Linked DNA regions of Macaca mulatta. The protein of the gene in region 4 purifies or fractionates together with the protein of the main gene of each other region. This does not show direct contact. Links are inferred from orthologs where the notes say so. Each region holds a gene or a part of one and is shown on either strand. Other genes may lie near its edges.

Region 1 (3,500 bases), on a different chromosome or scaffold from region 4:
CAGTAAAGTATAGCTTTTGTCCAAGAATCCTTTTCTTACATGATTTCTAATTAGTCCTGTAATCTAGCCTTTCAAATTTGACCATAAAAGATCTTTGAGCTAAAACTTTGGGTGATAATTACTATTAGAATGTGATGTCCTAATTCCGAGTTTTCCTATTCTAAAATATTATTATTATTATTATTTGTTTTCAGGAAGTGAGAATAACTCTCTGTACCTGTACTATAAAGGACTTTCTAAGACTTTGCTAACTTTTAAGTTTGATACAGTCAAAAGTGTTCTGGACAAAGACCGAAAAGAAGATGATACAAATGAATTTGTTAGTGCTGTGTGCTGGAGGGCACTACCAGATGGGGTAAGTTTTCATATCAGTTTTTTCACCTTGGGATCTCCTATTATGCATTATGTATACACAGGGTTTGATTAAATTTTAAAATATAAATTGGTGTGTGGTATGTACTATTTTTAAAACTTTGTAATGTGTCACCAAAGACAATAGGCATTTTAGGTAGTGATTGAAATGCACAGTAATAGAGCAATGTAATGGTGTCATCATGTCCCTCTGTGACCCATAGCATCTAGTGCATATCTCAGTTATAACGATTAAAATATTGTCTCTTCATATCTCTTCTGTAAGACTGGAAAATCCTCCAGAATACACATTCCGTCTCATCTTCTTTATTGATTATGTGCAGTATATGCTTGATAAACATTAAGCTGAGCTGGTATTTTAATAGGGAGAAAAAGAATTGGTGCAGGTAAAGGAGAGTGGCCTATATGGTGCTCTAATTAAATACTATTTCAAAGTAGAATTGCTTTCTGCAAAATACATTTATATATGAATATTTAAGCATATTTAGTATATTGATGAGAAAGTTATGCTACTAGGTTGTATGAAGAGAAGTTGCCTCAAACTTTTCACTTATGTTTTAAAGTATAAGGTTTTTCATAAGTTATATAAAAAAAAATTCTTGTTACTATCTTGATTTATATAAACATGAGTTGTTAGTATTGTATTTTTAAAATAGCTTTTTAGGTGCTTAGTTAGGTTTATTTTGACAAAATAAAATTCTGACAAAATTCTGACTTGATATGTAATTTAAAAATCCAAGTTTCAGGTATAGTTTCACTTTAATTAGATATATTCTATTGCTGTCTTAAAGTTTGCTAATTGACAGACTAGGTAATTTGGACCAACCCTTCCTCCAAGTAAAATTAGAAAAGTAGGACCAAATACATGTATTTTAAAAACAAGAACCTATTTGAAAGCATTGGAAAGCAAACAAGACAAGACACAATTACTGAATTTGGATTGTGACCCTGGCTTTTGAATCTGCTTTTCCCCTGTGAGCATTTGTCAGTTTTGGTGGGGTGGTTAAAAGCACTTACACTAGCTTCACAGGGTTGCAGGGACTGGAGCTCAGTGCCTGACATTATGTGAGTGACTACTTTTTTTTAAGTCCCCACAGGGGTATATTATAGGAGAAACCAGAAGATAAGCCTTCGTAGAGATTGCATCTGAACTTTTTATCAGTCTCTGAAATTGAATTGAGGTGACCCTTCATTGCTGATATTCACAGGATGCAAACTTAAATCCTCTCTGAAAAAAGATGAGATCATCTAAGTGCTTTATTTTTTTTCAGTTTTGTAACTACAATAACTAGGGCACAATAAAAAATAAACAGACATAGTAAAAGATAAGACAGCATGAATTAAACCAGCCTAAGCAACAGACTGTAGAAACAGTCACAGCAGCTCTAAATATTGGAGTTATCAGACAGCTTGAAAGTAGCTACGCTTATAAGATGAAAGACAAGATTGAAAATTTTAACTGAGAACTGGAAACTATTTTTAGAATGAAAATATAATTCTGCTTCTGGCCCCTTCCAAATTTCATGTCCTCACATTTCAAACCTAATCATGCCTTCTCGACAGTCTCCCAAGGTCTTAACTCATTTCAGCATTAACTCAGAAGTCCAAAGTCCAACATCTCATCTGAGACCAGCCAAGTCCCTTCTGCCTATGAGCCTGTAAAATCATCAGCAAATTAGTTAATTCCTAGATAGAAAGAGAATACAGGCATTGGGTAAATACAGCCATTCCAAATGGGAGAAATTGGCCAAAACAAAGCTACAGGCCCTATGCAAGTTCAGAATCCAATGGGGCAGTCAAATCTTCAGGTTCCAAAATGATCTCCTTTGACTCCATGTCTCACACCCAGGTCACACTGATGCAAGAGGTGGGTTCCCATAGTCTTGGACAGCTCCACCACTGTGGCTTTTCAGGGTACAGCTTCCCTCCTGGCTGCTTTCACAGGCTGGCATTGTCTGTGGCTTTTCCAGGTGAATAGTGCAAGCTTTCAGTGGATCTACCATTTTGGGGTCTGGTGGATGGTAGCCCTCTTTTCATAGCTCGCCTAGGTGGTGCCCCAGTAGGGACTCTGTGTGAGGGCTCCCACCCCACATTTCCCTTCTGTACTGCCATAGCAGAGGTTCTCCATGAGGGCCCACCCCTGCAGGAAACTTCTGCCTGGTCAGCCAGGCATTTCCATACATCCTCTGAAATCTAGGCAGAGGTTTCCAAACCTCAATTCTTGATTTCTGTGCACACGCAGGAACAACACCACATGGAAGCTGCCAAGGCTTGGGGCTCGCACCCTCTGAAACCATGGCCCTGGTTCTATGTTGGCCCCTTTTAGTCATGGCTGGAGCAGCTGGGACACAGGACACCAAGTCCCTAGTCTGCACACAGCATACGAACACTGGACCTGGCCCAGGAAACCACTTTTTCCTCCTGGGTCTCTGGGCCTGTGATGGGAGGGGCTGCTCTGAAGACCTCTGACATATCCTGGAGACTTTTTCCCCATGGTCTTGGGGATTAACATTCGGCTCCTTGTTACTTTTGCAGATTTCTGCAGCCAGCTTGAATTTCTCCCCAGAAAATGGGATTTTCTTTTCTGTTGCATTGTCAGGCTGCAAATTTTTCAAACTTTGGTGCTCCATTTCCCTTATTAAACTGAATGCCTTTAACAGCATCCAAATCACTTCTTGTATGCTTTGCTGCTTAGAAATTTCTACCAGGTACCCTAAATGATCTCTCTCAAGGACAGAGTTCCACAAATCTCTAGGGCAGGGGCAAAATGCCACCAGTCTCTTTACTAAAACATAACAAGAGTCCTTTTTGCTCCATTTCTCAGCAAGTTCCTCATCTCCATCTGAGACCACCTCAGCCTGGATTTCACGTCCATATCAGTATCAGCATTTTGGTCAAAGCCATTGAACAAGTCTCTAGGGAGTTCCAAATTTTCCCACATTTTCCGGTCTTCTGAGCCCTCTAAACTGTTCCAACCTATGCCTGTTAACCAGTTCCAAAGTCACTTCCACATTTTGGGGTATCTTCTCAGCAGCACCCCACTTCTGGTACCAATTTTCTGTATTAGTCCATTTTCACACTGCTGATAAAGATATAGTCAAGACTGGGTAATTTACAAAAGAAAGAGG
Region 2 (3,929 bases), on a different chromosome or scaffold from region 4:
CATTTCTAATTGAGTTTTTAACAAGAAAACGAGCATAGTCTGGTAGGTTTAAAATGAGCTTTTTAGAGTGATGAACCTGGGTTCAAATACAAGCTCTGCCCCTTTCTAGCTATTCATTAATTCAACCACATGTATTGAGCAACTGTTGTTATAGATATCCCAATTGCTGGGAACACACAGTATTGATGTTTTAGAAACAATGTACTCCATTATTCTTTAATATGGAATCCTTTGTTTCTCAGCTCCTAAAAAATCCCCAAAAACCTTCATTAAAAGTACATACAAGAAAAAATACATTAAAAAAAAAACTGATATATTTCAAGGGTACTTCTCTTAAAGCATGTAGCTGGTAAAACTGATGTTGTTATAAGGATAAATATCCTGATACTTTCTTGCTCAGATAGGAACTGCAAGCAAGCCCAAGACTTTTCTCAGAAAGCAGCTCTGAAGGAGTTGCTGGCTAACACAGCACTGGCTATCAGTTATCAAGCACATTATTTCATTTAATCTTCACAACACCATGTGGTAGATTGCTACAGTAATGGCTTCCAATGAATCATGTCTCCCTCTGTCCAGGCTCCTTTGCAATGTAACTTTGCCACTAAAGAGGCAGTAGTAGGCTCCATTTCCCCTCCCCTTGAATCTGGGCTGGTCTTCTGATTTACTTTTACCAGTACTAGAGAATTGATATGAGACTTTCTAGGCTATCCTTAAGAGGTCTTGTGACTTCCCCTCTCATAGCCACCTAAGAAAGCCCAAGCTAAACTAATGAATGAGAGACTATGTGCACAGAGAGACAGATCCTGCCAAGAGCAAGATATGCATGTGAGTCCAGCCCCAGGTGAGTTGCCAGCTGACTATATCTGCATGAGTAAGCCCAGACAAGACCAGAAGAGCTGTCCAGTCAATCCATAGAATCCTGAGAAATCACAGTTGTTTTACACTGGTAAGTTTTTGGTTACAAAGCAACAGATAACTGAAGTACCCTATAAATACTATTGTTTATCTCCAATTCAGACCTGAAAAAGTAAATACTTAAGTTTCAGAACTCTCCAAATACATGAAAAGCTCTATTTCTTCTGATAACTAATGCACTTATTTTTCTTTTACAAAATAAAAAGTAAAGGAAGCATGGGGGAAAAAATATAAGCTGCTTTTACTTTCATCCATATCTACAAAATTACAAGCAAAAAGGATTAAACCATGAAGACATATTTATTTCCAACCCATACAATAAGTGAATATATATTACTGACAGCTTAGTGATAGTAACAACAATCTTGTGGCACTTTCTATATGTCAGGTACTGTTCTAGGTGATATAAGTGTGGTAAGTATATATGCACACAGATACTCATCTTGTCTTCAGATAATCTCAGACAAGAATATGTCCTATTATCATCTTCATTTTCCTAAATGGGAAAATGCAGCACAAAGTAGTTACGCCCAAAATATACGGCTGAATTTCCCACTGATAAAAGTAGATTACATTTACCACCAGAGAAAAGGCAGCCTAGCCTACTTAAAACAGTCAGAATTTCGATGACCAGGTTAGAGCAGGTGTATCCCATTAACATACATAAAGTGATTTCAGCTGTCAGGATGTAAACATTAAGATCAACTTGAGAGGCATACTTTATTTACTTATTTATTTATGGAGACGGGGGTCTCACTATGTTGCCCAGGCTAGTCTAGAACTCCTGGCCTCAAGTGATCCTCCCACCTCAGCCTCTCTGCACCCGGCCTAGAGAGGCATACTTTAAGTTCATTACAAAAGATCAGTGCTGTGACATCTACAAAGAGAAAATGAACAATATACGTCTACCTACCTATGCTTAATACTGTTGAACAACTGCTTGCACAACAGGCACGTCACACATTTTAACTTGGAGTGAACCTAAGCATTCTATATGAATTTCGACAAAATTCAGATTCCTGCAAACATCACTACTCTAGACATCCTGATCCGCGATATGAGCACATTCCGCCTATGTGCCTTCAGAGTTGGTGGTGGAGAAAATACCCGAAACACAAGGACCCACAGAAGACAGTCTGAGTGGTCTGGACGACATGACAGCGGCCATACCTCCTCAGTCTCAGCCAGCCCCAAGAAGCCATCTCCCCGAAAAACACACCATCAAGGCCCCAGAATATACATTTCTCTGAATCAAAAAAAGGAGGAGGAAGGTCCAACGAGAGGCCAGATTCGGTGTGAGGCCGGCCAGCGATAGGAAGAGGTACCAGGGAAGGCTACTAAGGCCAGGGTAGCAGTCATCTGTCAGACCGCTCTTCCAAAATCCTAAGGGACCAGAGGGATTCTATCAATAACTGAACAAGTTGACAGTCATCCCAAGTCTATGGCCTCGAAGGCCCCTGCACAAGGTCCCCTCCAGCTCTCTGCTTCTCCCAACATTTGCCTCCCTAGCCGACCTCAGGCCCGCCCCCTTGGTCGTCAGGCCGGTTCCTAGCTTCACGCCCAAGAGTCGTGGCCAACCTAAGGAGATTAAGGCTGTGGCTTTCTTTCCCCACCTCTGTACTCCCGCGTTGCTGGGAAATACTCACTTGCCAGCCAGATCTTTATGAGAGCCGCTCGAATTCATGAGCTGGGCCAAATCCTGTCGCACGGCTGCCGCCATCTTTCTCCCAGCTCAGCGGTGGATGCGGGGCCTCTGGCAGCCAAAAAGAAAACGAGTGTGGTCCTCCAGAGTGCAGCCAGAGGGAACCTGAGATGCTACAGAGTAGCGTCTGTGTGGGCCAGAGCGTCGGGTGTGGGAGCCTGGGCTAGCTCCGCCCTCAGGGTTGAGTGATGCGGGGCTCCACTCCTCAGGTCTGAGGCCTGCCCAGCCCTCTCCTACAGGCTCTGGCTCTCACGCTCGGACTTTGGATTGGCTGATGAACTCCAGGAGTGAGTCTCTAGTGTAACTCCAATAAGTACCCGGTACATAAAACGACTGCGTTTTCGCAAAGTTCCATGTCTCATGTCTGTGGTTTACCGTCCTTAGGTCTTTCAGGCAGCGCTTAAACTGCCTGTGGTAAAGAACGAGTTTTGTTTCTGATTCACCACAGACGATACTTTTTAGAAATACAATTAAAAAGTCCCCATTCCTCCTCCCACTCCATGCACTTTATAAAGGTTGATCAGATATTCCAGTTTGTCCAGTACAAAGCCATTTTCCCTCTGTCGTCCTGGAGTAGTGATTAATAACATCCCCCCTTGCGGCCGGGCGCGGTGGCTCACGCCTGTAATCCCAGCACTTTGGGAGGCCGAGGCGGGCGGATCACGAGGTCAGGAGATCGAGACCATCCTGGCTAAACACGGTGAAACCCCGTCTACTAAAAATACAAAAAAATTAGCTGGGCGTAGGTGGTGCACGCCTGTAGCCCCAGCTACTCGGGAGGCTGAGGCTGTAGAATGGCGTAAAACCCGGGAGGCGGAACTTGCAGTGACCGGAGATTGCGCCACTGCGCTCCTGCCTGGGCGATAGAGCAAGACTCCGTCTCTAAATAAATAAATTAATTAATTAATTAAAATAACATCCCCCCTTTCATTCTACAAACGGTTGCATTTCAATGGAAGATTATATGGTCGCCTGCGTTTATGTGATATTCAATACTCATGTATTCTTATGGAATTTCTGCAAATACAAGCAAATATTAATAAATATAAAATTTTACCTCTCCTTTCACAAAAAGTAACACCACATAATTGTTCTGCTTTGTTTTTTGTTGTTGTTGTTGTTGTTGTTTTGTTTTTTTTGTTTTTGTTTTTTTTTTTGCACTTTTCCTGGTACTATGGTTTGAAATAATTGTCTTCTCCAAAACGCAAGTTGAGGGCTGGGTGCCGTGGCTCACGTCTGTAATCCCAGCACTTTGGGAGGCCGAGGCGGACGGATCATCAGAGGTTGGGAGTTCGAGACCAGCCTGAACAAC
Region 3 (3,500 bases), on a different chromosome or scaffold from region 4:
GGGCAAGGTGGTAGAATTTCTATTGCAAAAATAGATAATAATTACTATAAATACTCTTCCCAAAGAAACAGCAAATAAGATATCTTTCGAGCTGTAATTATTATCTTTCATCTAGAGTGTATTGTAAGTCTAAAGAAATGATGTCATTAGCCGTTGAAACAAGATTTCATATTGTAGTAATAAACAGACAAAAGACAATCCAAGTACAATTTTTTAATAAAGATAATTACAAAAGATGGAAAAATCAGCTCAGAAAGGCCAATTACTTCTTTAATAGATCAGTTTTTTTGACATAATAACATCAATTTTAAATACTATCACATAAAGCATGGTGGAGAAAAGAAATTTTGCTTCATAATTAGAAAAACTCACAATAAAACTTGCCAAGAAAAACAAAAACGAAAAAGCCATTTGAAAATAAATACAGTCCATGCCAAAGTAGTATAAAATGAAGCCAGAAGTCTTCAAAAAGAAAACATTTTCCTTTCAATATTTTCTTTTTAATGATTTTCTGAAATTGGTGAGACTGTCAAATTCAGGGGTTGCTGAGCTGTTCTGATTTGGTTCTGTTAAAAGAGGCAATGTGAAATATTAACAATGGCACAATCTCGATTTCAATGCACTGACCTACTCTATTGATCAGGTCCTGTAGGCTCATGCTAACAAACACATTAATTGATAATGTCTTAAGTGTTTCTGGATAATTAATGCCTTAATCTTTCTAGTGATTTTATAATCATTCCAAGTTATCCTGTAAAGGCTGGCACAAAATTATGTATGCTCGAACTTTTACATGCTTTCTGACAATAAAATCCTCAACTGTTTTTACTTAAAATTGTTTCTTAAACGTACCTATCTCACAACACTAAAAAAATCATGTACACAGAAATAAGAACACCATGAAAACCATTAAGTGCACATATAAAAGACAATAGCAAAAAAGGATCTCAGATAAATGATGTATAAAAATACAAACTGACTTAGTTTATATTGATAAACCAATAGGTAAGATGGCATATGTTGTCTTATGTACCAATACAAACTAAAATTCAGAGCACCTCATAATGATGTTCTAAGGTTCAGTCTAGTATTTCTGAAGTGTGTACACACACACACCAATAAACATGTTTAGCATTTTTATAGTATGTAAAAAGTACTCAATAAGGAACATCATTTACCCTTTGGTATCTGTTTTTTCACCACTGTTGTCCTTGGATTTATCTTCTTCCTTAACGTCTAAAAATAAAGATTGGGAAAAGATTAAAACCTATTTTGAAATATAAAATGTATATATATTATTTCAAAATATACTTTATTTTTAAAATATAAAAAAGTATCATGCAATCTTATTATTAATGAATTAGGGTCTAAATAAGCTTTGTGTTGGGTGTTTCCTAAACGATGGCAGTACAAGCTATGAACAGTCACTGGATTGGGGTGGGGAGGAAGAGAAAAGGTGGCCCTAACTCTAGGTTTTGACCTATAGATTTAAAAAGTGTATTTCATTTTTCTGTAGGCTGAAGAAGTTTAACAACTGCAAGGCCCTATCAGAAGAGCCCCATCACCAAATAGAGGGTTTATTTTTTAAGCACAGAAAAGATAAAGCTTTTAAAAATGAGAACACCAAAAAATAGACAAGACGACGACATAGTGAAAATGAAAGAAAAGAAAAAAAGTTAGAAAAATCCTACAGCTAAAGTCAAGTCCTTACCTCAGTCATGGCTTGAATTTTTGGATGTCAATCAGTATACAAATATAGACTGAAGCCATCATTATAATACACTGCGAAGTTAAAATTATAAAATGGTAGATAGAGAACTGTATGTAGCCTATTGAGGAGTGAATTCACAAGGAAAAGAATAGAACTAGATGTGTCAGATGTTACAAATTACGAACTCTCTAGTTAAAAAAAAAAAAAAAAAGAGCCAGCTTATTCACATAACTTCAATTTGATAGATATAGGAAAAATTGGATCAGTACCTCTAAATCAGTTTTTCACATGCTACAGGATAAAAATTAACAGGTTAACTAAAACGTGTGCTCATCACCATTACCTGCATTAGGAAATGCATCAAGCGCTGAGAATACAAGTATTTAAGATATTGTGTTCCCTAGCCATGAGCAGCTCAATCTAGCAGGGAGACAAAATCCTGTGAGGTGCTATAATATGTGTTAAATAAAATGGCAAAGGCATGTGTAAGTGTTCTGGGAAGTCAGATGAAAGGTAACAGATTCAGGTAGCAAATTCAATTGCCTAAAGCTAACACAGCGTTTTAAGGTAAGGCAATGTATCAATGTATTAACTCCTTCCTAACCCACATCCCAAATCCCCTCCTAGCTTTCCTCAGAGCTTTTAATGTTTTCTTCAATTTCTGAACAAAATCCATTATTTGACCTTTTTCAAAATGGCAAAACTAGTCTAAGGGTATGTAACTCTTCTTTGTGTTTTCTCCCATTAAATAAGCTTTAGGTAGTTAAAAATTACCTTAGAAGTTCAGTTCTGACCATGCATTACAAATAGATTCATAATTACTTTGTCCTCTTTCTTACCCAATCTCTATCACAGTACAATGTTTACTATTTTAAACCCACGTTATCAAGAAGATAAAGTTTCCTATATTATTAAAGCAAACAGGAACAATAACATTTATATAAAAGCTTTAAGAGCTAAGCACCACTTACATGTAAGAAAAAAGAGTCATCTACCTAGCATACTTCCTCCTTTGATACTTGTGAAACTGACTTTAGGATCCCATAAACATTACAATGTAGCTCAATTTTTAAAATTTACAATTAAAACAACTACCAAGAAACAAATCTGACCTGCTTTTTTGTCCTCTGTTTCTTTCTTATCTTCTTCAATTCTAGCTTTCTTTGCTCCTTTCTTATGATCAGCCACATTTCTTCGACCTCCTTCTCCTTCATCCTCAGAATCTGAGAATTCTTCATCACAAGCTATCCGCTTGTCTGATGCTCGAACTGCACAAAAGATTTTAATAAATTTTGACAAAAAGAGTCATAGGTTTTATAATCATTATAGCATACTCATACAAACGCACCAGCAGTTACCACATTTAAAGGTAAAGGATAACAGATGCCTAATGATTTTAAAATTTGAATGGAATGAATGGTTTACTTAATATTGAAAACTTTGCTTTCAAGTATGAAGAAATGGCTCGAAAACACATAATAAAAATTGGGGGAATTTCTTTTTCTTTTAAAAATGCTGAAACTCTGAAGGAAAAAAGTGTGTTTTTCTAATGGGGATAGGAATAATATCATTACTTAAAAAGTAGCATTTTATTTCAGAGCTGAGAGGTGAAGTAGACCAAAAAAAGTACCAATACCAAATATGTTAAGACAGTCTATGCCCTACATGTACCATTATGCTACAATCTAACCATCATATTAAGTGTAATGAGAAGTTGCAAAATCAAACAGATGTTTAGTTATTTGGTTCACCCTACTTCAGATAAATGAGATGTCTTATTAATTGCCAA
Region 4 (3,500 bases):
TCATAAATGTAGTTTAAAACTACATGGAGTTAAGATATTTCCATTTCTATAGATGCTGCATAAATTTGGGGGTCAAACAGACCTGGATTAGAATCCCAGCTTTGCCATTGACTAGCTATGATGACCTTGGGCAAGCTTACTAAATGAGTTCCAGCCTCAGTTTCCTCGGTTGTAAAATAGATTCCTCAGGGTATTGTTGGGAAGATTAAGAGGTTTATAAAGTACCTTGCACATAGGCAGTATTTTAAATCTCAGGTTAAAAATTCATGTCGACTTAGGTTTTACACATGATGAAGTAAGATCAGGATTGTTGTTTTTTATGGTCATTCTTGAATTTTTATTTTTTTGAAGCAATACAATCAATAGGAGAAAAACCTCACCTTCAATTTTAATAGGTGAGTCAAAATGACTTAAATAGTATTATGACATTTCAAATTTTATTCTTTATATTAAGCTTAAATACAGTGGTTACTTTAATGATTAGGTGTGATAGTTATAAAGATCATAATTTACCCTAAAAATAGAGTAATGCTGTTGTATTTTATTGATCTTTGGTTACTGTATCTGACATGGTATTCTGATACCAACCTTTTACATATCATCTAGATAAGCCTAAATTACCAGAAAACTACACAGATGAAACCTGGCAAAAACTGAAAGAAGCAGTGGAAGCTATTCAGAATAGTACTTCAATTAAGTACAATTTAGAAGAACTGTACCAGGTATGTATTAATATGCATAACCAGATTTGATTAACATAAATTAAGGTGGGATATATATTGATTTTGCTTTCTGAAATAGGTTCTTAAGTAGACTTTTGGTTCCCTTCTAGTTTTAGTTTCTCAATTAATTGATGAACTCTTTAATTAGACCACGTATTCTCACATAAACTATGGGTACAGTCATACCGGTATAAATTGTGCTTATCTTTGACCCTTCTGATGAGGAATTACAGTTAGGTGTACCTTGGTGTAATAGAAGTTCTACCTATAATGAAATCCTATAGCATGAATCCCAAAGTTGATTTCTGGTGACATGTCGTTCTATTGTGATAATTGTTTCTTAGTTGTGTTACCTACCCATAGGAAAGGCCTCAAGACATGCAGATATTATTCATATCCTTTATTTTACCTCCTTCTTAATAGTAGACTTTGCTATTCCTTTTTCTTGCTCTTTACATTTTTCTAATACCTGGGCTACAAGACGCACCTTAGCCCAGAAATGAGCAGCAGTTTGTTGTCCAGCAGCTTAGTCTGAGGTTCAGATTCTTTACTTAGCAAATGGGTCCTTACACTTAAATATAATGTTAAGGGCAGTTACTAATGGCAATCTCTTGCTACCGAGAAATTTTTCCCTACTGTGTATTTGACACACAACCAATTCAAGAAGTTACTTTCATTAGAGTATCAGGGATTTGGTGTTAAAAGATACTTCAGGCCGGGCACGGTGGCTCACACCTGTAATCCCAGCACTTTGGGAGACCAAGGCTGGTGGATCACCTGAGGTCAGGAGTTCGAGACCAGCCGACCAACATGGAGAAACCCCGTCTCTACTAAAAATACAAAATTAGCCAGGCGTGGTGGTGCATGCCTGTAATCCCAGCTACCCAGGAGGCTGAGGCAGGAGAATTGCTTGAACCCAGGAGGTAGAGGTTGCGGTGAGCCGAGATTGCGCCATTGCATTCCAGACTGGGCAGCCAGAGCAAAACTCCATCTCAAGAAAGATATTTCAGAGTACTTCAGAGTACAATAGCTTGAATTTTTGTATTAATGAGTACCTTGTAAGAAATTATGTTGGTTCGATTTATCAGTATTTGTATATTTTAGTTGCAGAGCTAGTATGGTGATGGGCAAATCCTGGATTAGGAGTCAGAAGATGGGTTTGAGATCTAGTTTTGACTGCTGTGACCCTTGTAATATTGGGCCAGGTACTAAAGCCCTCTCAGTTTTTTTCCTGTTTTTTTAAGAGATAGGGGTCTTGCTATGTTGCCCAGGCTGGTCTTGAACCCCAGGGCTACAGCAGTCTTCTCACCTCAACCTTCCAAGGTGCTGAGATTACAGGCATGAGCCACCAAACCCAGCCGTCCCTCTCAATTTAAATTTCCTCCTCTCTAAAGTAGAGGAAATAATAATTTGCCCTACCTATCTCACAAGGTTGCTTATAAGAATCAAATAAGATATTTGTGGAAAAAACCTCCAGGCACTATAATCTTACAAATATGATGATATCACGAGTCATGCTTTTTTACAAGCCACAGTATAGCTTCTTCACTTGTAATATGTCAATTGAGATCACCGGTTTCTGTTGCTGTGAAAATTAGTCAGTACACGCAAAATACTCAAATCAGTGCACAACACATAGTAATAATGCCATGTAACATTATAAACATTGTAATGCTATGTAAATGTCAGCTAATAGTTGTAGTACTAAGCTGTTACTTAAGAATAAGCCCGTTTCATATGGCTCTTTTGGCATATTATATGTGTGTCTCCTAAAATGTACAACAATAAAAGTCAAAATATGAAACTGACTTGGAAAGGCCTTAAGAGAGCATGTGGTCCAATATTTTTCTTTGTGGTGTCTGTGACAGCCTGCAAAGGGGATTCATCTTGTATTATCTCATATAAGCATTACGAAAACCCTTTCTGGAGTACGTAGGGTAGTAGTTACTATCTCCACTTTTTATTTATATTTATTTATTTATTTATTTTTGAGATGGAGTCTTACTACGTCACTCAGGCTGGAGTGCAGTGGCATGATCTCGGCTCACTGCAGCCTCTACCTCCCGGGCTCAAGTGATCCTCTTGCCTCAGCTTCCCAAGTAGCTGGAATTACAGGCACCTGCCACCACGGCCTACTAATTTGTATATTTTTAGTAGAGATAGGATTTTACCATATTGGCCAGGCTGATCTCGAACTCCTGACCTCAAGTGATCCACCCGCCTCCACCTCCCAAGGTGCCGGGATTACAGGTGTGAGCCACCGCGCCCGGCCTATCCCCAGTTTATTGATGAAGAGACTGAGTCTCAGAGAAGTTGAATAACCTGCCCAGAGTCACATATTGGCAGAGTCACATATTGGCAGAGCAGGGGCAACTCAAACTGAGATGCTGGATTTCTAGTTCGTTGCACTTTTACTCCTGTACTACCTCACTAATATACCCTGGTACTTTGAATACCACTGTAGTGCAGTGTTTGAAGCAATTAAATTGTTTTACTTTAGGGAAAAAGCTCTTTATCATTGAAGTAGTATTTTTATCTGTGCATGCATAAGTGGTGTTTATTTGGATAGTATATGGTGTTTATTTGGATATGCTGGTATACAGCATATTTAATTTCAATAATGTGTTATTTTATATATTCCATATTTATAACAAATGTTTATTGTAGTTGTTAATGAACCCTATTTACTTTACCTTGAATATTTTTCCAGAGCTTTTGCTTTGAAAATATTTTTCCTGATATATTGATTCTGTTAAATCTTTTCGTTTCAAGAGCATA
Region 5 (3,060 bases), about 40 Mb from region 4:
AAAGCAACATGGCAATGGAAAAAGAAATTGGAAGACCAGAGGCACAGGAGGAAGAGGCAGATGGGGAAGATGGGGTAGATGGAGTAGAGGAGGCAGAGGAAGAGGAGGCAGGGGACGAGGGAGTAGAGGAAGAGGTGGAGGTGGCACTAGGGGGAGGGGAAGAGGGAGAGGAGGAAGAGGTGCTTCTAGAGGAGCTACCAGAGCCAAACGAGCACGTATTGCAGATGATGAATTTGATACCATGTTTTCAGGACGTTTCAGTAGACTGCCTCGAATTAAAACAAGAAACCAAGGCAGGAGGACTGTTTTATATAATGATGATTCTGATAATGACAATTTTGTGTCCACTGAGGATCCTCTGAATCTTGGTACATCCAGATCAGGCAGAGTGCGTAAAATGACAGAAAAAGCCAGGGTTAGCCATCTCATGGGATGGAATTATTAACAGTTAATAAATTTAGAATAACTTAAAAAATTCAATGGCCTTCTACTGCAGGGAATTTACCAGGAAATCTACAAAGCAAGTTGTGTGGGGACTTCTGCTTCCTTTCACATTGGTGCTTTTCCATTTATGCCAGTATACATTTGTTTCAAGACTTTTGATCTCCACACTTCATTTGTTCAAATAAGCCTTACTCATTAGGCCTTAAATTAAAAGAAATTCTGCCCACACACACACACACACAAACACACACACACACACGAAACACAACACAGACACACTACAGATTTACTACATTAAAGGAGCATTCAGCTTCTTAAGAGTAGCATGACATTTTTATCTCAATAGAATAGCCCTCTTTTGCTTTTGTATCACAGAAGTATAGCACCTTCTTACAGAGTTTTATATAGTTTGTTTTTGCCATTTTGATTCCTATACCCAGTAATAATAACTTTTGCACAATACACCAATCCTAAAGGCAGCTATTAAATGTTTACAGTTTCTATATTGTAAGAGCGATCTGGATTATTTTACTCTTCCCAGGCCAAACTTTCATGACTTGTACTGAACTGAAGTATATATTTATACTACAGTTTTTTGGGGGGTGGGGGGATCTTGATATGCTTTTCATTGATTTGCATAATTCACGTTAAAGGTGAGAAAGGGTTGGTGCCTTGTAAATATGTAGCAGATCTTCGTGGTGTGTTCTGATGTGTGCATTAACTTTATTAAAAAAGAATACTTGAGGTATCAATCTAGACAAGGTGCCAAATGCAAAAGTTTCCTGCATCAATTTTTTTTCCTATCACATTTTATTGCATTAATAGAATTTGTGTAGCTTAAATAACTTAAACATTTGAAAAATCCTCATCCACAAAGAACAACTTCTTTGAACAGTAGCTCAGCTACCTCTTAACTACAACTACTGGAAACATTAAGGAAAATAGATGCTGTTATTCCTTACTGACTAAGGAGAAATAGAACAAGCTTAGTAGGAATGAATACCCATAAGTTATAAGCTGAGAGGTTGTTAATAATTGTATTGGCTCTCAAATTAATAATTGTAATTAACAAACTTTCATAAGTATAGTATGCTCTACCTTAGACTTTCTTAGAACATGAACATATTTGTGTAAGTAGACTTGGGCTACTGCTCATATATTTCTGCTCCACTTACCATTTAACAGCTGTGAGTTACTGGTTTTCATTTGAATCTTAAAATTTAACAAAGCACCTAGTTTGAGTTGGAATGTTTTGGCTAGCTAGTATTATGAATCAACTTACAGATTCTGCTCATATCATTCCAAAGGGTTCTTCTGTTCTAGTCTTTCAGGAAAGAACCTTATTGCACTGCACACTGATGTTGTGAATCATTATTTTATAGATAAAAAGCATCTTTAAAAACCCTTATTGTCTTGTTTACAGCAGTAGAGTGCACATGGTTCCATAAGTGAGCTTGAGTTTCAAGGTCAATTTTAGTCCCCAAATTTAATATTACAGATTTGTTGATTTGTTAGATACTTACATTTCTGAGGTAAGAGGGATAATATCAATTTATGTTTCTGTAACAGCAAATTTGTTGCACTTAGATCAGGCTCATGGGATAAAACAGACTTCTTAGTGTATACCTAGCTATCCCAGGATTTTTCTTAAGCTAATGTGTTTGTCTCATGCTTTCAATCATTTCATGCATCTGAAAACCCTTAAGTGCAGAGGAAGGTGTACACACATAAAACTTTGCTTTTTTGGTAGGGTCGGCAGTAGGGTTATTCTTGGACTAACATCTTTAAGCAGTTTTCACTTGCAGTAGAAATGATGTTCAGGCTTTAAGAGAAAGTATTGTTGTGAATTGTTAATGGCACTAACTTCTGTTACTAGACAGCAGACCAAGCTATTTTTTTGTTGTAGTCTTTTTTTCACTAAACCAAAACTACTACTGGTTGTAACTCAGCTGCCACTTTTAACCATAGTAGAGATTCAAAACGTTCCTATTTGAAACTACATTTGGTTTTTCCTAAAACGTGCTGTTTCAGTTATTTATCTCTTGGGCATTTAGACTAAATCGTGCCTGTATTCCTGAAATCAATAATACTTTGGCCTATCCTGATCTAAGTAACATAGTTACTTAAATTCCTGGATATACCCAAATATGGATCACATGTATCATTTTAGTGTGAAATTTTTTGTTGACATTCTTCTATGAAGAGCTGACCTCTTGAAATGTAGAAGAATTGACATTTGTGTGATTTTGGCTATCTGGAGCTTTATTTATAATTTATTTTGAAAAATAAAAATGCCACATTTATTTCCCAAATGTCAAGATTTTCTAGAATTAGATAATTAGAATAATAAGGCTGAAGACATTTTAAAGCATATTTTATATGTAGTGAAATACTGTGAAAATATTAGTGAACAGCACTTTGCTGTAATGTTTATTTCAGTTATTAAGATTTAAAGAGTTAGTCATCAGGGTATGTTAGATAAACATAGTTATCATTTATTAAACAAACAGATAATTTTCTGTTTGCATGCAAATTATTTTAATAAGTGTGAAAAATAAAAGTTTGGAAGATAGTATTTTTACTTTTATATCTGGACTTTTTTCCCCCCAATTTACA
Region 6 (3,500 bases), on a different chromosome or scaffold from region 4:
GAGGCTGAGGCAGGAGAATCGCTTGAACCTGAGATGGAGGTTGCAGTGAGCCGAGATTGCACCATTGCACTCCAGCCTGGGCAACACAGCAAGACTTCGTCGCAAAAAAAAAAAAAAAAAAAAAAAAAGGTACACAACCAAAGAATCCTTTTCACTTTTGTTCACATCAGATTAGGCTCATATGGGCAACAAAGCAGTCCCCAGGCAGGGCCAACAAATCACTTGGTCTTCAGTGAACTTCCCCTGCCTGGGGTCTCGGTATGAGGACCTCTTCAGCAGAACCCTTTCACCTGGCAGGTCTCTGGGCCACGAGACCCTGTGGCCTGAGAAAGTTCATGATCCCCTACCTTTCCAGCCATGTCTGATGCCATCAGGTATTGCTCATCTTGGAGGATCCGCACAGAGGTCACTGCTGAGTCATGAAACAGGCGGGTGGCCTTCCATCCCTTGCCTTGATTTCCACAACGCAGATCAATGGCAAAGATTTCCCCAGAGCGGCAGCCATTAAACAGCAGAGGAACCTGTGGAAAGAGGGCCTGCTCGGTCCTGGCTACCATGACCTCCCTCTGAGGCTGGGCGGGGCAGGTCCTCCTGCTATAACCCCTCTTCTAGCCTCTGGGTCGGATGGTGTGATCAGACACGTGCTGGTCAGGGTTTGGGTCTCAATGGAGTTGGAAGGGAGGATGATTCCTTGTTAGTGGCTAGAAGAACCAGACCCCACGTGTCCTCCTCATGGGCAGCACAGAGGTCCTAGGAGCTGCCTGCTCCCCGCCCCCCCACGCACTGCCCCCTTTGGCCTTTCTCTCTGAAGTCCCAGAGATAGCACCCCATCTCTACCAAAGGTGGGTCAGCAGGTTCATTCACTTTTAAGGAAAGATGGTATTTTCTAGAGAAAAGTCCTTAAAATATAGTTATGACCACTTTTTTTTGAGACAGAGCCTTGCCCTGTCGCCCAGGCTAGAGTGCAGTGGTGCCATCTTGGCTCACTGCAACCTCCGCCTCCCGGGTTCAGGTGATTCTCCTGCCTCAGCCTCCTGAGCAGCTGGGATTACAGGCGCCTGGCACCACACCCAGCTAATTTTTGTATTTTTAGTAGAGAAGAGGTTTCACTATCTCGGCTAGGCTGGTTTCAAACTCCTGACCTCGTGATCTACCCATCTCGGCCTCCCAAAGTGCTGGGATTACAGCCATGAGCCACTGCACCTGGCCTGATTTTTTTTTTTTTTTTAAACTGACTTGAATTTATCAAGCTTAAATTCTTTTTTTTTTTTTTGAGACGGAGTCTCACTCTGTCGCCCAGGCTGGAGTGCAGTGGTGCGATATCGGCTCACTGCAAGCTCTGCCTCCCGGGTTCACGCCATTCTCCTGTCTCAGCCTGCCGTGTAGGTGGGACTACAGGCGCCTGCCACCACACCTGGCTAATTTTTGTATTTTTAGTAGAGATGGGGTTTCACTGTGTTAGCCAGGATGGTCTCGATCTCCTGACCTCGTGATCCATCCGTCTCGGCCTCCCAAAGTGCTGGGATTACAGGCGTGAGCCACCGTGCCCGGCCCTGATTTTTTAAATATATAAAACATATAACCTGAGAGCTGTGAAGAATTGGTGTTTAGCTTATACATTTTAAAGATGGTTTGTCCTGCTGGGTAACTCCAAGTACCCAAGAACTGCTCACAATTCCTTTCCATGAGAGGTTGTTTAGAGCAACTCAGGCAAGCCTTTCTGGATCAACCAACTTTCACTCAGTTCAGACACGCTTACAAAGGAACCCACTGAGCCTTTCTGATGCTCTTTCTCCCCTGTCAAAGACGACTAGATGGCACACAGAGGAGTCCAATTTCAATCTGGCCAAATTTCTGCACGGGGCAAACTTTATATTCTGCCTGTCCCAATCCAACTAACCATGAGAGCAAACTGCTGGGCCAAGACATCACTGTTGGTCCCAAAGGACTGCCGGTGTCCCGTCACCACGTTGGTCAACAGGACCCGCCGAGACAAGCCTGGCGGAGACAGAGATAGGCTGGTGAGATTATGTCACATGTAGTCTGGGGAGAGGGACAGCTACAGGGGTTTTAAGGTCTGTTAAGGCCTCTTCTCTGGGCACCTGGGGAGCCAGGCTCACCTGTACTGAAGCAGTTATTTGCTTGGATATTCAGGGACCAGGCACAGGACCAGGCACCAGGGATCCGGAAACTGCAGAGCATGCCAGGCCGGTCTATTCCTGCTAAGGGGATAGGAGAATGTAAATTGTGGCTGCCCTCTAGCCAGGCCAGGGACCACTGGGTTCAGAAAACATCCAAATATGCCCATAGCTGCTCAGAGGGTCTATACCTTTGGCCCCATTCTGGGTTTTGTGGTTGCAAGAGAGAGGCTCAGCTGGGATGCCTGGCTCACAAGTGGTTATTCTGAAAATGCATGTATGTTAACATTCCCAGTAGTCACGTTTATAGTACTGATATCAAGGAGGTAGTGTACTGTCAGAGGTAAGGTGGCTCCGATCCTCGATCACCTACCAGCTATGTGATCTCAGGCAAGTGTGTGTGTATATAGATACGCACACACAGACACACACACATAAAGATATATATAGATATACGTATCTTTAAGACAGGGTCTTGTTCTTTTGCCCAGTCTGGAGTGCAGTGGCATGATCATGGCTCAATGCATCCTCAACTTCCCAGGCTCAAGAAATCCTCCCATCTCAGCCTCCCAAGTAGCTGGGACCACAGGTGTGAGTCACCACACATGGCTTATTATTTATTTTTTGTAGAGATTGGAGTCTTGCTATGTTGCTCAGGCTGGTCTCGAACTCCTGGGCTCAAATGATTATTCTGCCTTGGCCTCCCAAAGTGTTGGGATTACAGGCATGAGTCACCATGCTTTGATAAAATATTTTTTAAAATAAACTTTTGCATTGATAGAACGTACACACTGGAAGGATACAGTTCAGGGAGTTATTACAAACTAAATATAGCCACGTACCCGCCAATCAGGTTGAGAAACAAAACAATCCAGGCCGGGCGCGGTGGCTCACGCCTGTAATCCCAGCACTTTGGCAGGCCAAGGCGGGTGGATCACCTGAGGTCAGGAGTTCGAGACCAGCCTCAACAACATGGAGAAATCCCATCTCTACTAAAAGTACAAAAATAGCCAGGTGTGGTAGAACATGCCTGTAATCCCATCTACTCGGGAGACTGAGGCAGGAGAATCGCTTGAATCCCAGAGACGAAGGTTGCGGTGACCTGAGATCACGTCACTGTACTCCAGCCTGGGCAACAAAACTCCGTCTCAAAAACAAACAAACAAACAAAGAAAAAAGAAAAGACATAAAACAATCCAGTACCCCAGAGGCCTCCCTCACATCCCTTTCCCAATTACTACCTCTCCAAAGGGTACTGTGAGCCTGACCTCCAACACTAAAAATTACTTTTGTAAGGCAAATTCTGAAACTCTCTGCCTCAGTTTCCTTAACCGTAAAATGGTGGTAAGACACACTCCTGCC
Region 7 (4,219 bases), on a different chromosome or scaffold from region 4:
TCTGATCATTTCTACTTCTCACATGCAGGTCCAAGGCATCACTGTCCCTTGCCTGACTAACTACAATAGTGTCCTAATTGCTTTCTTATTTTTATTTAAGAATAGCATATATACAGTAAACTATAAAAATGTGAAGCATATAGCTATATGAATTATGTATTTATCAAGTGTCAAGATAAAGAAAACTCAGCATTCCTAAAGCTTCCCCATGTCACTTCTCAAGCATCCTAAAAAGAAAAAGAAAAAAAAAAATCCTTTCTTTCTACAGAGGTATCTACTATTCTACCGTTAATCACCATAGACAAGTTTTTACTGCTTTTGAACTTCAGAATTGAACCATACAGTTTGTACTCATTTCTACCTAATTTCAATCACCATGTTGAGATTGGTCCATACTGTTTCACATAGCAAGTGTGCCTTATTTTCTATTATTATGCAGTATCCAATTGTATGATTATAGCACGAGTTTTAGCATTTTGGAAATTCAGATAATTTCCAGGCTTCGGCTATTAAGAAATAGCAACTAACATTATTACATTTTTTTTTCTTCCTTGCTTGGTAGAAAAACAGGCTCTTTAACATTTTTAATAAACCTCTCACAAACTGCTGCTCCTAGATTACAAAAAGTCAAAGCCAATTCCTTGAATCTGAACTTCAAGTCACCATAATAGAAACCGGAGCTGCTGCACCTTACATTCTGAAAGGTACTTCAACAAAAGCACATTAAAGACTGTTTAAAACTTCTCGTATTTAAGAAGATCCCTCTTTCCTTCCAATGCCTATGGATAATAATAAAACGAGAATCTTAAGGGATCTGCTATTGAGTTTGAGAAATTTAATGATTCCAAACTGCAGCCTTAAATATTTCTGTAGAGACTCCGAGAAATTACCTCTCCCTTGTCTCCACTCCCACTGGCTTCCTCAAGCACAGATGCCTGGGACCCTTTGTGACTAGTCAGTCTTACTAGTACCATCATTATGCTTCTCTAAAGGGCTACTAGTGAAAGAAGCTGCTTTAATTTATTTTAGTTTTTGCCAATCTTCAGTCCTTAGAAAAGTCTTACAAAAAAAAAAAGGGTGGGGGAGATGGTTAACTGTTCTAAGGCATTCAACAAGAGGAAATAGGTATCTTTTATGAAAAGGACTTTCAAGTTAAGTCCAGTTTAACTGAAATAACTTTACGGAAAAGTCTCCACATAAAACTCTTAACACCTTACCCCTGGCAGCCGGATAGATGGGATCTATATATATCACGTCTCTTAAACTGCTCTCACAGAAACGGTAGTAAGATACTCTTAACTTCCTTAAGTCAAATCCACATTCGGCCGCGCTGCAATCTGCGGAATTAGCTGAAGGGGAAACAATAAAGGTCCTGCCGGACAGCCATGAGCAGCCCTGGTGCTGCTCCCCGGATGCCCCCGAGCCGAGAAGCGAAGGCCACGCTGGGAATGTCGTCCTCGGAGGCAGAATACGGGGAAGGGATGGTTCTGAGCAGGTGGGCATCATGGAGGCTCCAGATTCTCGTGTAGCAGTCCTGGCCCACTGCCACCACGATTCCCTCTTCCTCGTGCACATGCAGGGGCAGATAGGCGGACTCATTCACGTGACCTTCGTACTGCCTTAAACATTTAGTGGCCCTCAGATCCCACAGCTTGATCTTTCCAGTCATGTCTGACGCCATCAGGCATTGCTCTTCTTGGAGGATTTGCACAGAGGTCACTGCAGAGTCATGGAACAGGCGAGTGGCCCTCCACCCCTTGCCTCGATTTCTACAGCGCAGATCAATGGCAAAGATCTCCCCGGAGCGACAGCCATTAAACAGCAAAGGAGCCGTACTAGCAAATTGCTGGGCCAAGACATCACTGCTGGCACCAAACGACTGCTGGTGTCCCGTCGCCACGTTGGTCAACAGGACCTGCTGAGACAAGCCTGCACTAAAGCAGTGATATGCCCGGGTGTTGAGGGACCAGGCACAGGACCAGGCCTCAGGGATCTGGAAACTGCAGAGCATGCCAGGCTGGTTTACTCTTGTGTGAACACTTAAGAATCGCGACGCTGGGAGCAGCACCGCACAGCTTGGAGCATCTGTAATTCCCTCGAAGCACAGCAGAATGTGAGAGTCCAACTGGTTCAGCGAGGCCCAGCACAGGGACTTCACCTTCCGGTTGGGGACGTAGAGGTTTCTGAGCACGTACACGTGGAATGAAGGGATCTTCAGAGTTCGCAGGCTGATAATGCCGTACTTGGAGCCTTCGACTTCGACCTGGTTCACTACGAAGAGCTGGTCGCTGTTGGTACTCGCCAGAATGAAGTTAAATCGGTCGGTCGCCAAAGAGGAGGGATCCAAGCTCCGAATCTGGACTTTTTTTCTCTCCATGCAGCTCACACGCAGCTCGTTGGCTAAACGGGAGTAACTGGTGACGTTGAGGAAACCTAGCTGGCTTTTTCGGAGCATAGAAGATGCATTAAATCCCATTCTGGCTACCTTTTTCTGCTTGGCCTCCTCCTCGAGGAGTCGCAGCCTTTCCGCCTCCATTTCCTCCTGCGGACTGTTGCTCGTGACAGGAAATTCTTCAGGATGTTCTTTTCCGTGACAGGAAGTTCCGTCCGGGCGCGAACGGAAGTGTTGCTAATTTTTATCTCTGTATTCTGGGAGCAAGTCCTTTGTTGCAGATGTGTATTACAAGTCTCTTTTCCTACTCTGTGGGTTGTCATATTCTCTCAGTGGCGTCTTGACGAAAGTTCTTGATGTTAAATTTTTTCCTTTCTCTTTTTGAGACAGGGTCTTGCTCTTTCACCCAGGCTGGAGTCCAGTGGCCCGACCACGACTCACTGCAGCCTGGAACTCCTGGGCTCAAGTGATTCTCCTACTTCTGCCCTACCTAGCTGGGACTATGGGCTCGAGACACCACGCCCGGCTAATTTTTTTGTAAAGATGGGGTCTCCCTGCGTTGCTGATGCTGGTCTGAAACTCGAGCTCGAGCAGCCTGTCCGCCTCAGCCTCCCAAAGTGCTGGAATTACAAGCATGAGCCCACCGCGCCTTGCCTGTATTTCTTAATTTTTTATTTTTTATTTTGAGATGGAGTCTCGCTGTGTCACCCAGGCTGGAGTACAGTGGCGCGATCTCGGCTCACTGCAAGTTCCGCCTCTCGCGTTTCACGCCATTCTCCTGCCTCAGCCTCCCAAGTGGCTGGGACTACAGGTGCCCGCCACCATGCCTGGTTAATGTGTATATTTTTAGTAGAGACAGGGTTTCACCATGTAGGTAGGATGGTCTCAATCTCCTGACCTCGTGATCCGCCCGCCTCAGCCTCCTAAAGTGCTGGGATTACAGGCTGAGCCACCGCGCCCGGCCGCCTGTATTTTTAAAATACAGTTAGAGACCAGAGGGGGCGGCTTGGTGAAACTTTGTCTCTGAAAAAGTACAAAAATTAGACCGGGCGCAGTGGCTCACGCCTGTAATCTCAGCACTTTGGGAGGCCGAGGCAGGTGGATCACGAGGTCAGGAGATCAAGACCATCCTGGCTAACACGGTGAAATCCCGTCTCCACTAAAAATACAAAAAATTAGGGGGGACTGGTGGCGGGCGCCTGTAGTCCCAGCTACTCGGGAGGCTGAGGCAGGAGAATGGCGTGAACCCGGGAGGCGGAGCTTGCAGTGAGCCGAGATTGTGCCACTGCATTCCAGCCTGGGCAACAGAGCGAGACTCTGTCTCAAAAAATAAATAAATAATTATACAAAAATTAGCGGGGCATGGTGCACACCTGTAGACCCAGCTACTCAGGAGACGGGAGGGAAAATCACCTGAGCCCAGAAGGTTGAGGCTGCAGTGATCACCCCACTGCACTCCAGCGAAGCCAGGAGACAGAATAAGACCCTGTCTCAAAAAGAAAGAAAAATAAGTAAATAAATTATGGATTTGTCCAAACTGTCAATTTGTTTCATTAATGGTATCTTTCGTGTTCTGTTCAGGACATTTGTACCTATTACATGATACTAGTAAAGTTTTGGGGACTTCCAAGAGGAGACTGATAGCTCCAGTCCCCATCTGGATGTTTCCTCTGCCACAAAGCTTGCTGACTGTCCCTAGGCTATGAATTTCCAGGAATTTTGGAGGACTGGGGAGAGTTGGTAGGGACTACAGAGAAATCCGGTGATATCTGGACTATGGATCCTGTCGGAATCTACAGGCCACAGAGCTGGGATCTCAGAGAGCAC

The links.
Region 1: the proteins of CUL4B (region 4) and COP1 purify together in Homo sapiens (affinity purification with western blotting; 4 studies listed by BioGRID and IntAct, with this or other methods). This does not show direct contact. The link is inferred for Macaca mulatta from reciprocal best matches to the Homo sapiens genes CUL4B and COP1.
Region 2: the proteins of CUL4B (region 4) and COPS4 purify together in Homo sapiens (affinity purification with mass spectrometry; 9 studies listed by BioGRID and IntAct, with this or other methods). This does not show direct contact. The link is inferred for Macaca mulatta from reciprocal best matches to the Homo sapiens genes CUL4B and COPS4.
Region 3: the proteins of CUL4B (region 4) and HDAC2 purify together in Homo sapiens (affinity purification with western blotting; 3 studies listed by BioGRID, with this or other methods). This does not show direct contact. The link is inferred for Macaca mulatta from reciprocal best matches to the Homo sapiens genes CUL4B and HDAC2.
Region 5: the proteins of CUL4B (region 4) and BRWD3 purify together in Homo sapiens (affinity purification with mass spectrometry; 3 studies listed by BioGRID and IntAct, with this or other methods). This does not show direct contact. The link is inferred for Macaca mulatta from reciprocal best matches to the Homo sapiens genes CUL4B and BRWD3.
Region 6: the proteins of CUL4B (region 4) and DCAF4 purify together in Homo sapiens (affinity purification with mass spectrometry; 9 studies listed by BioGRID and IntAct, counting the BioPlex papers as one, with this or other methods). This does not show direct contact. The link is inferred for Macaca mulatta from reciprocal best matches to the Homo sapiens genes CUL4B and DCAF4.
Region 7: the proteins of CUL4B (region 4) and DCAF4L1 purify together in Homo sapiens (affinity purification with mass spectrometry; 3 studies listed by BioGRID and IntAct, counting the BioPlex papers as one, with this or other methods). This does not show direct contact. The link is inferred for Macaca mulatta from reciprocal best matches to the Homo sapiens genes CUL4B and DCAF4L1.

The regions. Positions count from the first base shown.
Region 1 is NC_133406.1:33,458,892-33,462,391, reverse strand, and holds part of COP1 (E3 ubiquitin-protein ligase COP1), read left to right. Parts: intron 1-194; coding exon 195-355; intron 356-3,500. UniProt on the Homo sapiens protein: E3 ubiquitin-protein ligase that mediates ubiquitination and subsequent proteasomal degradation of target proteins.
Region 2 is NC_133410.1:50,736,338-50,740,266, forward strand, and holds the start of COPS4 (COP9 signalosome complex subunit 4), read right to left. Parts: upstream 2,801-3,929; 5' UTR 2,636-2,800; coding exon 2,562-2,635; intron 1-2,561. UniProt on the Homo sapiens protein: Component of the COP9 signalosome complex (CSN), a complex involved in various cellular and developmental processes.
Region 3 is NC_133409.1:19,009,492-19,012,991, forward strand, and holds the end of HDAC2 (histone deacetylase 2), read right to left. Parts: intron 2,980-3,500; coding exon 2,824-2,979; intron 1,237-2,823; coding exon 1,179-1,236; intron 567-1,178; coding exon 536-566; 3' UTR 199-535; downstream 1-198. UniProt on the Homo sapiens protein: Histone deacetylase that catalyzes the deacetylation of lysine residues on the N-terminal part of the core histones (H2A, H2B, H3 and H4).
Region 4 is NC_133426.1:126,955,898-126,959,397, reverse strand, and holds part of CUL4B (cullin-4B), read left to right. Parts: intron 1-606; coding exon 607-722; intron 723-3,500.
Region 5 is NC_133426.1:86,994,507-86,997,566, reverse strand, and holds part of BRWD3 (bromodomain and WD repeat-containing protein 3), read left to right. Parts: coding exon 1-445; 3' UTR 446-3,060. UniProt on the Homo sapiens protein: Plays a role in the regulation of cell morphology and cytoskeletal organization. Required in the control of cell shape.
Region 6 is NC_133412.1:146,100,366-146,103,865, reverse strand, and holds part of DCAF4 (DDB1- and CUL4-associated factor 4), read right to left. Parts: intron 2,223-3,500; coding exon 2,121-2,222; intron 1,999-2,120; coding exon 1,901-1,998; intron 522-1,900; coding exon 348-521; intron 1-347. UniProt on the Homo sapiens protein: May function as a substrate receptor for CUL4-DDB1 E3 ubiquitin-protein ligase complex.
Region 7 is NC_133410.1:41,230,358-41,234,576, reverse strand, and holds the start of DCAF4L1 (DDB1- and CUL4-associated factor 4-like protein 1), read right to left. Parts: upstream 2,801-4,219; 5' UTR 2,537-2,800; coding exon 1,346-2,536; 3' UTR 1-1,345.